Linked DNA regions of Coturnix japonica. The protein of the gene in region 1 interacts with the protein of each later gene in a pairwise test. Links are inferred from orthologs where the notes say so. Each region holds a gene or a part of one and is shown in the gene's direction. Other genes may lie near its edges.

Region 1 (3,648 bases):
ACAGTCAAATCACCAGTCCAGCTGTTCCAGATCCCTGGTGAGAGGCCATATGTGATCACTGCAAGAATGTGTTGGCTGCAGACCCGTGTCCTTAGGCTAATTGGTGATCATTCTGCTTGACTTTCCCTTCCTCAGATATGTTCCAGCTTGTACATATTCGCTCCCTTGCCTTTTTCTCCATCCCCATCCCCTGCCTAAGTCTAGATGAGTTCCATCTGGGTTTTTAAGTGACCAGGGCAGCTGTCCAAATGTTGTCCATTTTGATTTCTTTTTCCCCATTTGCAGTGATTGCTCTTTTTCATGCAACTGCGTGTCAAGAGCGTTCTTTTGCAGAGGTTTATTTTTGGCTCTGACTTCCAGCTATCATGGCTCAGCAGTTCTGTTAACTAGCGTGGTCAAGTACTAGAACAGATAATTCTGGGGGCATGAGATTTCAACAGCTGCAGGAACATTCTATTCACTTTCTACTCCTGTCTCCAGAAGATTTCAGCCCAGGCACTTCTGTAGCCTTTGCTACACATAGACCATTTCACAACAGTGGAATGTGTGCTGAGGAGAGCTAGTGAAATAAGTTGGTACTCCTTTCTAATGGATGATCTTTTTGATTACTGCCTCTAGTAGTTCCAGTAGGTAAGGCATGCCAGCATTATGGATTACAAGGCATTTTCTTTCTTTCTGTGTTCTTTTGAAGCATGTGTACCTCTTAAGTATCATACTGAGTTTTTGTAGGTGAAGGGAAGAATGAGACATAGAAGGCATGGAATTATGATTTCAAGTCAGAAATGTTAACACGTAAGACAGGAACCATTGTGTGAATTTACTTTGGAGAAGAACAACATAGAAGGGCATAGCCAATGAGGAAGATAAAAACTGATAGTTGAGAAAATGCATTCTCAGTGTTGAGAAGTCTGTGGTTAAGAAATAGATCTGAGTTTTCAGCGACTTCAGATGTTCTTTGTTGAGCAATGTAGGAGAATTAATTTGTGTTTTTTACACCTGTTGAAATTACTTAACAGATTTACTTAAAATATAAAGGCTTTTGGCTTTGTGTATGTTTATGTATACAACATCATCTTGTGCTATAGTTGGAATTAAGATACTGGAAATAATTCAAGTTTTTCAGTAGACTTAAGGAGAAACCATAAAGTCTGAATGTGCTAAATTCAGTTGTTAGAATATTCACTAATAGTTTTTCAGGCTCTAATTTTTTTCTTTCCCCTGTTTATGTAACATTTAGTTGTTTCCTAAGTAATTATTTCAATGATTTTTCTTGTGCAAATGATCTCATCAGCACTGGGAGCTAGTCTGCCTTATTACCTGTCTGTAAAAGTCAAAGGATCCTGTAGAAGATCTGAAGTCACAGTTGTGATTTGACTTGGATATCTGAATGTAATAGGAAGATCTGATGCTACCTTTTCTCTTTTTCTTCCATTAGAATGTGTTCTTTCTCTGATGTAGAAGGACATGTAGAAAAATCAGAGAAAAAGAAATAAATGGAAGTAAAAATATGTTGCTTACTCATTCCAGGTTGTTTTGGATGTTGGCTGTGGTACTGGAATACTCTCGATGTTTGCTGCCAAAGCAGGTGCAAAGAAAGTAATTGGAGTAGACCAATCTGAAATCATTTATCAAGCCATGGACATCATTAGGTAGGAAAGCTCTGGGAAACACATATGGTAAATATTGCTGTAAAAAGCTATTAAAATATTTTTCCTAATCTTGTATTTATGACACAGCTGGTTATTATTTCTACAAACTCGTGTTGGTTGCCTATGTTCAGATTGTTCACTGGCACCCCTTGTTAGAACAGAATGGAGAAAAGCAAACAAGAGTTGATTTCTAACCTTCAAGAACCAATCTGTCTTGCTATGTGGGATTATTCCAGCTGAGGTGGCCTTTGCCTTTGCAGAGTTCCTATCAGCTCATTTCTACAGTCTTTACCCTGTAATTTATCATCTACTTTCCTCAGTCGAGGTTCATCTAGAAATCTTATAACTCTGCATTCTGTTCCATCATCTAGGTTGCTTAATTGGTGTCAGATTTACTACTGAATCTTGAGGGACACCTCTGATACCTGGCTGTCACTTAGTTGAGAAACGTAATACAAAGTCTCTTTAGAATCTCATGGTCTGGATGGTTTTCCTCTCATTTAATAGTTTATTTATCCATTCTGTGTTTCACTAATTTACCTTTGTGGGATAATATGGGAGGCTGTGAGTTTGTGTGAAAATAAAACAAAGTTGTCTGAGCACTTAAGGATTTTCATTCACATATCACACTCAGATGCTGTAACCTTTTTCTGTTAAATAAATACCTGCTTAAGAAAAGTGCCATATTAAGTACTAGTTGCAACGTGGAGTGCATAAATTGCATCCAAGTTGGTTTTTTTACTATTTGTAAACTCCTTCTTTATATGATACAATTGCAATTTAAAATGTAATTAAAAAAATACTGAGGATAAATACTGGTTTATTATGTCCTTGTGCAGTGTCATTAACAATGTTATCTTTACATCCTTTTTGCTCTTAGAATACTGATACAAGTCATGGCTCTTTAACATTTTACTTTTCCCTTTGAACTTGTTTGACTCCTGTTTACAAACTAAGTGTGTTATTAGTGATGAACTGCTACTCTTCTAAGGGAAGGCTGTCCCATGTGAAGGATTTAATTGATATTTCCTACAGCCCACGTGTTCAAGCAGTCCTCTGACCCTTTCCCTCCTTTTTTTTTCCTGATCTTTCTCCTATTGTCTTCTAAATGGAATTTTTAATGTGATTACTCATTTGCATTGAGAGTCAGTATGAGAGAGTAAGATGTCAGGCAGTGGGGGGAAGGGGCACAGATGGGAGCTGCAGCAGATAGATAAATTTCTTTGGGGATAGGTACCTAGCAATTTAACTAGCATGCAGTTTTAGCTTCAAAAATACCTTCCTCCTTTTACAGAATGTATGTGTCATTCCTTGTTTGTAATACTGGTTACTCAAGTTTTTAAACATTGCAGATAATTTCAGCAAAAATCCCAATGAGGACAACACCTTCGTTGTGGAGTAACTCTAATCACTCCAGACTTACAAAGGTCAAAGAAAGAACTAAAACAGCTCTAAATAAAAAGGACTATCATTGTAAATTGGCTTCTTCTTTCTTCTCCTGGCCTCTGAAGTCTGTACATTTGCATGCACAAGATGTTGGAGATATGCAGTTCTACTGCCTGCCTCCTTTGCCTGACATTTAATGTGCTGAAATTTTTGGAGACCTATAGAAACGTTCTGTCTGAAACATGACTAATGAGAATAATATTGTCTCCTAGCCCTTTTTTGGGGGAGGAGGGAAGAAATGCCATGTAGAGACATCAGTATATCTCTGTTGACACCATCTAATGGAAATATGAACTAACTGGCTTATTTTATGACTTGCAGATTAAATAAACTTGAAAATACTATTACATTAATCAAAGGAAGAATTGAAGAAGTAGATCTGCCTTTGGAGAAAGTGGATGTAATTATATCTGAATGGATGGTAAGGCGTATGAATGTTCTTTTCAAAGCACTGTTGTTCTTAGGGAAAAAAAATGCATTATTTCATTATGAAAGTCTGAAAAATGATTCTTGAAGGATTGCTTTTTAAACCAACAAGACGTTGTGCTTATAG
Region 2 (3,943 bases), on another chromosome or scaffold:
CCGGGTTTTAAAGGGCGGGACTTCCGGCGCACTCTGATGACGTAAGAGCAGAGTAAGGAAGCGCCCTCCCTCAGTGTCACGTGGTACGGAGCTGCTTCTGTGTGTGTGTTGTGGTTAATGAATGGATGTTAACGAATGGACGGCGGATGGAGCAGCCTCCTGCCCGTCCTGGCTGTTTAACAGCACCATCCCACACCCTTCAGACCCCACACAGGGCTTGTGGACTGTAAGAAAGCACAACAGGACTCGAATAAGCGTTCAAACGAGTCAATCTTTATTGAAAGCACTCCGCTCCGTTGGTACGAGCGTTCTTTTATCCACATCCCGCACATTTTCTTAGTATTCCAACCCTAAATCATCATCCGCCCTTCACATGAAGGTGCTTTTGGTCCTATCTTCACATGGAGGATCCCAGCCGGGCTGTTCCACCTGCAGGAAGACTCGGAGCTCACACACGGTGCTCACACACAGCCCACATCACCCTACAATGCCGCCCCAGCCGCCCCTCATTGCCGTTATGGGAACACGGGTTTCACTGCCCACACACCGTCACCGTGGGCGATACGCTCTGCTGCTCCCTTTGCTGTCGGCACCGTTATCTCACCGGAGGCCACGGGAGACCAAAGGTGATTTTCAGACCGTGCCAAAGGCCCCTCATTCAGTACCCACCCCCTATCATAGTATCACAGTATCGTGCGGGTTGGAAGGGACCTTAGAGATCATCGAGTCCAACCCCCGGGATTCGAGCCTCTGTGTAGCAGAGCGGCACTTCTACCACCTGCGCCACAGGGGATTCGAACCCAGGGCCCCCAGTGTTGCAATCAGCACTGCCTACAGCCAGGCCCTCAACAAAGCCTGAACAGCTCTAAACGCCGCCAAAAGCCAAGAGAATCAAATAGAACCGAACGAGCTGCGCCCACCCACCCCCACGCAAACAACCCCACTCACTTACGTCCGAGCTCATTGGAGCGCAGCTCCACGTGTGCGCAGCTTTATATTCTGAGCCTACGCATGCGTAAGCTCGGCGCATGCGCACAGCTTCCGCCCGGCCCTCCCGCCCCGCACTCTGTATAAGTAAGCAGATCGCGCCCCCTTTGCGCTGTAGTGTATTCCGCATTCAGCGCGCGGGGTTGACACTTCAGAGAGGTGTTCTCGCGAGAACTTCCTGGGTATAAATACCTACCGGCGGTAAGTGGCGGCCTTCTACTATTGAAACACGTAAGTATGGCGGGCGATGGAATGGCGTCTGCGTGCGGCCTCCGCTCCATCCGCGCCCATCGGCGCCTCCTGCGGCTCGGGGCCGGCCGTACCTCTCCGGATGGATCCCGGCCGGGCTTTGCGGCCTCGCCGTGTGGTTATTTCGACCTGATGGTGGCGATGTTCTGACTAATTCACCTCTTTCTATACAGCAAATGGCGGACGACGCCGGTGCTGCGGGAGGAGCAGGAGCCGCCCGAGGGGGATTCAGGGGCGGCTTCGGGACCGGGCTGAGGGGCCGCGGGCGAGGCCGTGGAAGGGGCCGAGGGAGAGGACGGGGAGCCCGAGGGGGCAAAGCGGAGGATAAGGAAGTAAGTGGAAGCAGCAGGGCAGGGTTATGTCGGGCTGTGCCCTGTAGTGCTGCCATACAGCCCCCCCACCCCATAGGAGCTGCTGTAAAAGCCCTTTGTTGTTTACTGCTTTCTTTTGTAGTGGATTCCTGTCACCAAACTCGGTCGCCTGGTGAAGGATATGAAGATCAAGTCTCTGGAGGAGATCTATCTCTTCTCCCTTCCCATCAAGGTGAGATGCTGGGGATGCTCGGAGCTGGTGAGCAGCTTGTAGCAGGATCTGAACTGTAAAGCTGGCATTAGTTGCCTTATTTATTACTTACAAAGCTCAAGTTGAGCCACTTTGCTATTGATTTTACTCCGGTTTGTAGATAAGAGCAGCGAGATTTGTGTGTTTTTTCTGTGTTATTTGGATATTGCAGCTTAGCAATGTGTGATTAAATGGTTGAATCTTACAGGAGTCAGAGATCATCGATTTCTTCTTGGGGTCTTCTCTAAAAGATGAGGTGTTGAAGATCATGCCTGTCCAGAAACAGACTCGTGCTGGTCAACGTACCAGGTTTAAGGTAATTTTGTTATGTCTTTATTCTTCAGGGACATCCACAGCCTCTCTGTGCAGCCCATTGCATCACCCTACCAGACTCTGTAACTTCATAAGTTGTAGGAGCTACTTAATAGCTGCTTCATTGTAGTGTGCTGTAGCTGTTAAATATTAGTATGTGCTTCTGGTTATCTGTGATGAGATCCTGCTGAGTTGTTGTGCTGAGAGAGCTCTCCTGTATGGCAAAACCTCGGTTGAAAGCTTCCCTTTGATTTTAGGCTTTTGTTGCTATCGGAGACTACAACGGCCACGTTGGTCTGGGCGTTAAATGCTCTAAAGAAGTAGCTACAGCTATTCGCGGGGCCATCATTTTGGCTAAATTATCCATCGTCCCGGTGAGACGAGGATACTGGGGGAACAAGATCGGCAAACCTCACACTGTGCCTTGCAAGGTAAGAGCATCTCGCTGTGCATTGCATGTGAGTCACGTTGTGTGTGTGCTGTGGAAGCTGTAACCTGTTGTGTTTGTAGGTTACTGGGCGCTGTGGGTCTGTCCTGGTGCGTCTGATCCCAGCACCTCGAGGTACAGGCATCGTGTCTGCCCCTGTTCCTAAGAAGCTGCTGATGATGGCTGGAATTGATGACTGTTATACATCAGCCAGGGGCTGCACTGCCACGCTGGGCAACTTTGGTAAGTGTGAGGTTATTGTGTTGTAGTTCAGCTCTGTGTGTGTTGCTGTTTTCATTACTGAAAGGGAAGTAACTTAAACCCGTGTTAAATTGGAAGCTCCTCATCTCCCAATCTGCGCGGTTGCACTTTTGTGAAGTAGTGTAACTGTCGTATATGGAGAGAGAAAGGAAACTGAATTTTAAGAGTATAACACAGGGATCCTCTTCTGGTCTCTCTGTTCCCTCTGAAATTCTACACTTCTGGAGCTGTGTAAGTGTGTACAGGAGCTCATTTCTCTAACAGTGACGTGCAATGTTTAACTTGTTTCCATAGCTAAGGCCACCTTCGATGCCATCTCCAAGACATACAGTTACCTGACTCCTGACCTCTGGAAAGAGACTGTATTCACCAAATCTCCTTACCAGGTAAACATGCAGCTCTTCCTTCAGTGGGTTACGATGCTGAGAAGGTTATGACAGTGGTGTACATAAATGAAATGCTGTTTTTCTTTCTATCCAGGAGTTCACTGATCATCTGGCTAAGACCCACACCAGAGTCTCAGTGCAGAGAACCCAGGCAGCTGCTGTGGCAACTACTTAAAGTGGTTTTTGTACAAGACAATAAAGTGGACAGTGGACAAGAAATTGGTTTGATTGGATGCTTTGTGCGTTGGGCAGATCGGTTACATCTGTGCTTGGGATCTAAGTAGGCTCAGATCTGTGGGAAGCAGCCTGAACATCTGCTGGGTAGAATAGAATGTTTTACACTAACCCTTGTTAATCAGGTATTAAATCCTGAGCGGGGTTTGTAACTAAAAAGAGGGGAATATAATGTGCCTTTATACTCCTTTCACAGCACATTTACTCTGAGGGTGCTCCCTAATGATTTGTGGTAGTGGAGAAATCCAGCAGGGACACCCCCAGGGTTCCACAGCTCATATATATGGGTGCCTGGAGCTGACTTTGTTCAGAGGGTGGTAGCAGCCAACTGGAATGCAGAGCTGGAAAAGGAAGAATTCTAAGATTCTTTTACATACCTCTGCAAAGAATGAGTCTGTGCTAATGGATGGTACGGCAGATGTTTGGGTTTGCAAGTTTATTATAGAACATCACAGTTCACAGGTGTAACACAAGGATTTGAGAGAAGCACCAATGAGGGAGGTGCTAATTAATTCCATAACCGGAT

What was found.
Region 2: the proteins of PRMT3 (region 1) and RPS2 interact in binary tests that used the Homo sapiens proteins (3 or more experiments, as listed by UniProt). The link is inferred for Coturnix japonica from reciprocal best matches to the Homo sapiens genes PRMT3 and RPS2.

The regions. Positions count from the first base shown.
Region 1 is NC_029520.1:1,703,730-1,707,377, forward strand, and holds part of PRMT3 (protein arginine N-methyltransferase 3), read left to right. Parts: intron 1-1,527; coding exon 1,528-1,649; intron 1,650-3,416; coding exon 3,417-3,516; intron 3,517-3,648. UniProt on the Homo sapiens protein: Protein-arginine N-methyltransferase that catalyzes both the monomethylation and asymmetric dimethylation of the guanidino nitrogens of arginine residues in target proteins, and therefore falls into the group of type I methyltransferases.
Region 2 is NC_029529.1:6,101,623-6,105,565, reverse strand, and holds RPS2 (40S ribosomal protein S2), read left to right. Parts: upstream 1-1,386; 5' UTR 1,387-1,412; coding exon 1,413-1,568; intron 1,569-1,689; coding exon 1,690-1,779; intron 1,780-2,005; coding exon 2,006-2,113; intron 2,114-2,366; coding exon 2,367-2,540; intron 2,541-2,619; coding exon 2,620-2,779; intron 2,780-3,091; coding exon 3,092-3,183; intron 3,184-3,277; coding exon 3,278-3,358; 3' UTR 3,359-3,402; downstream 3,403-3,943.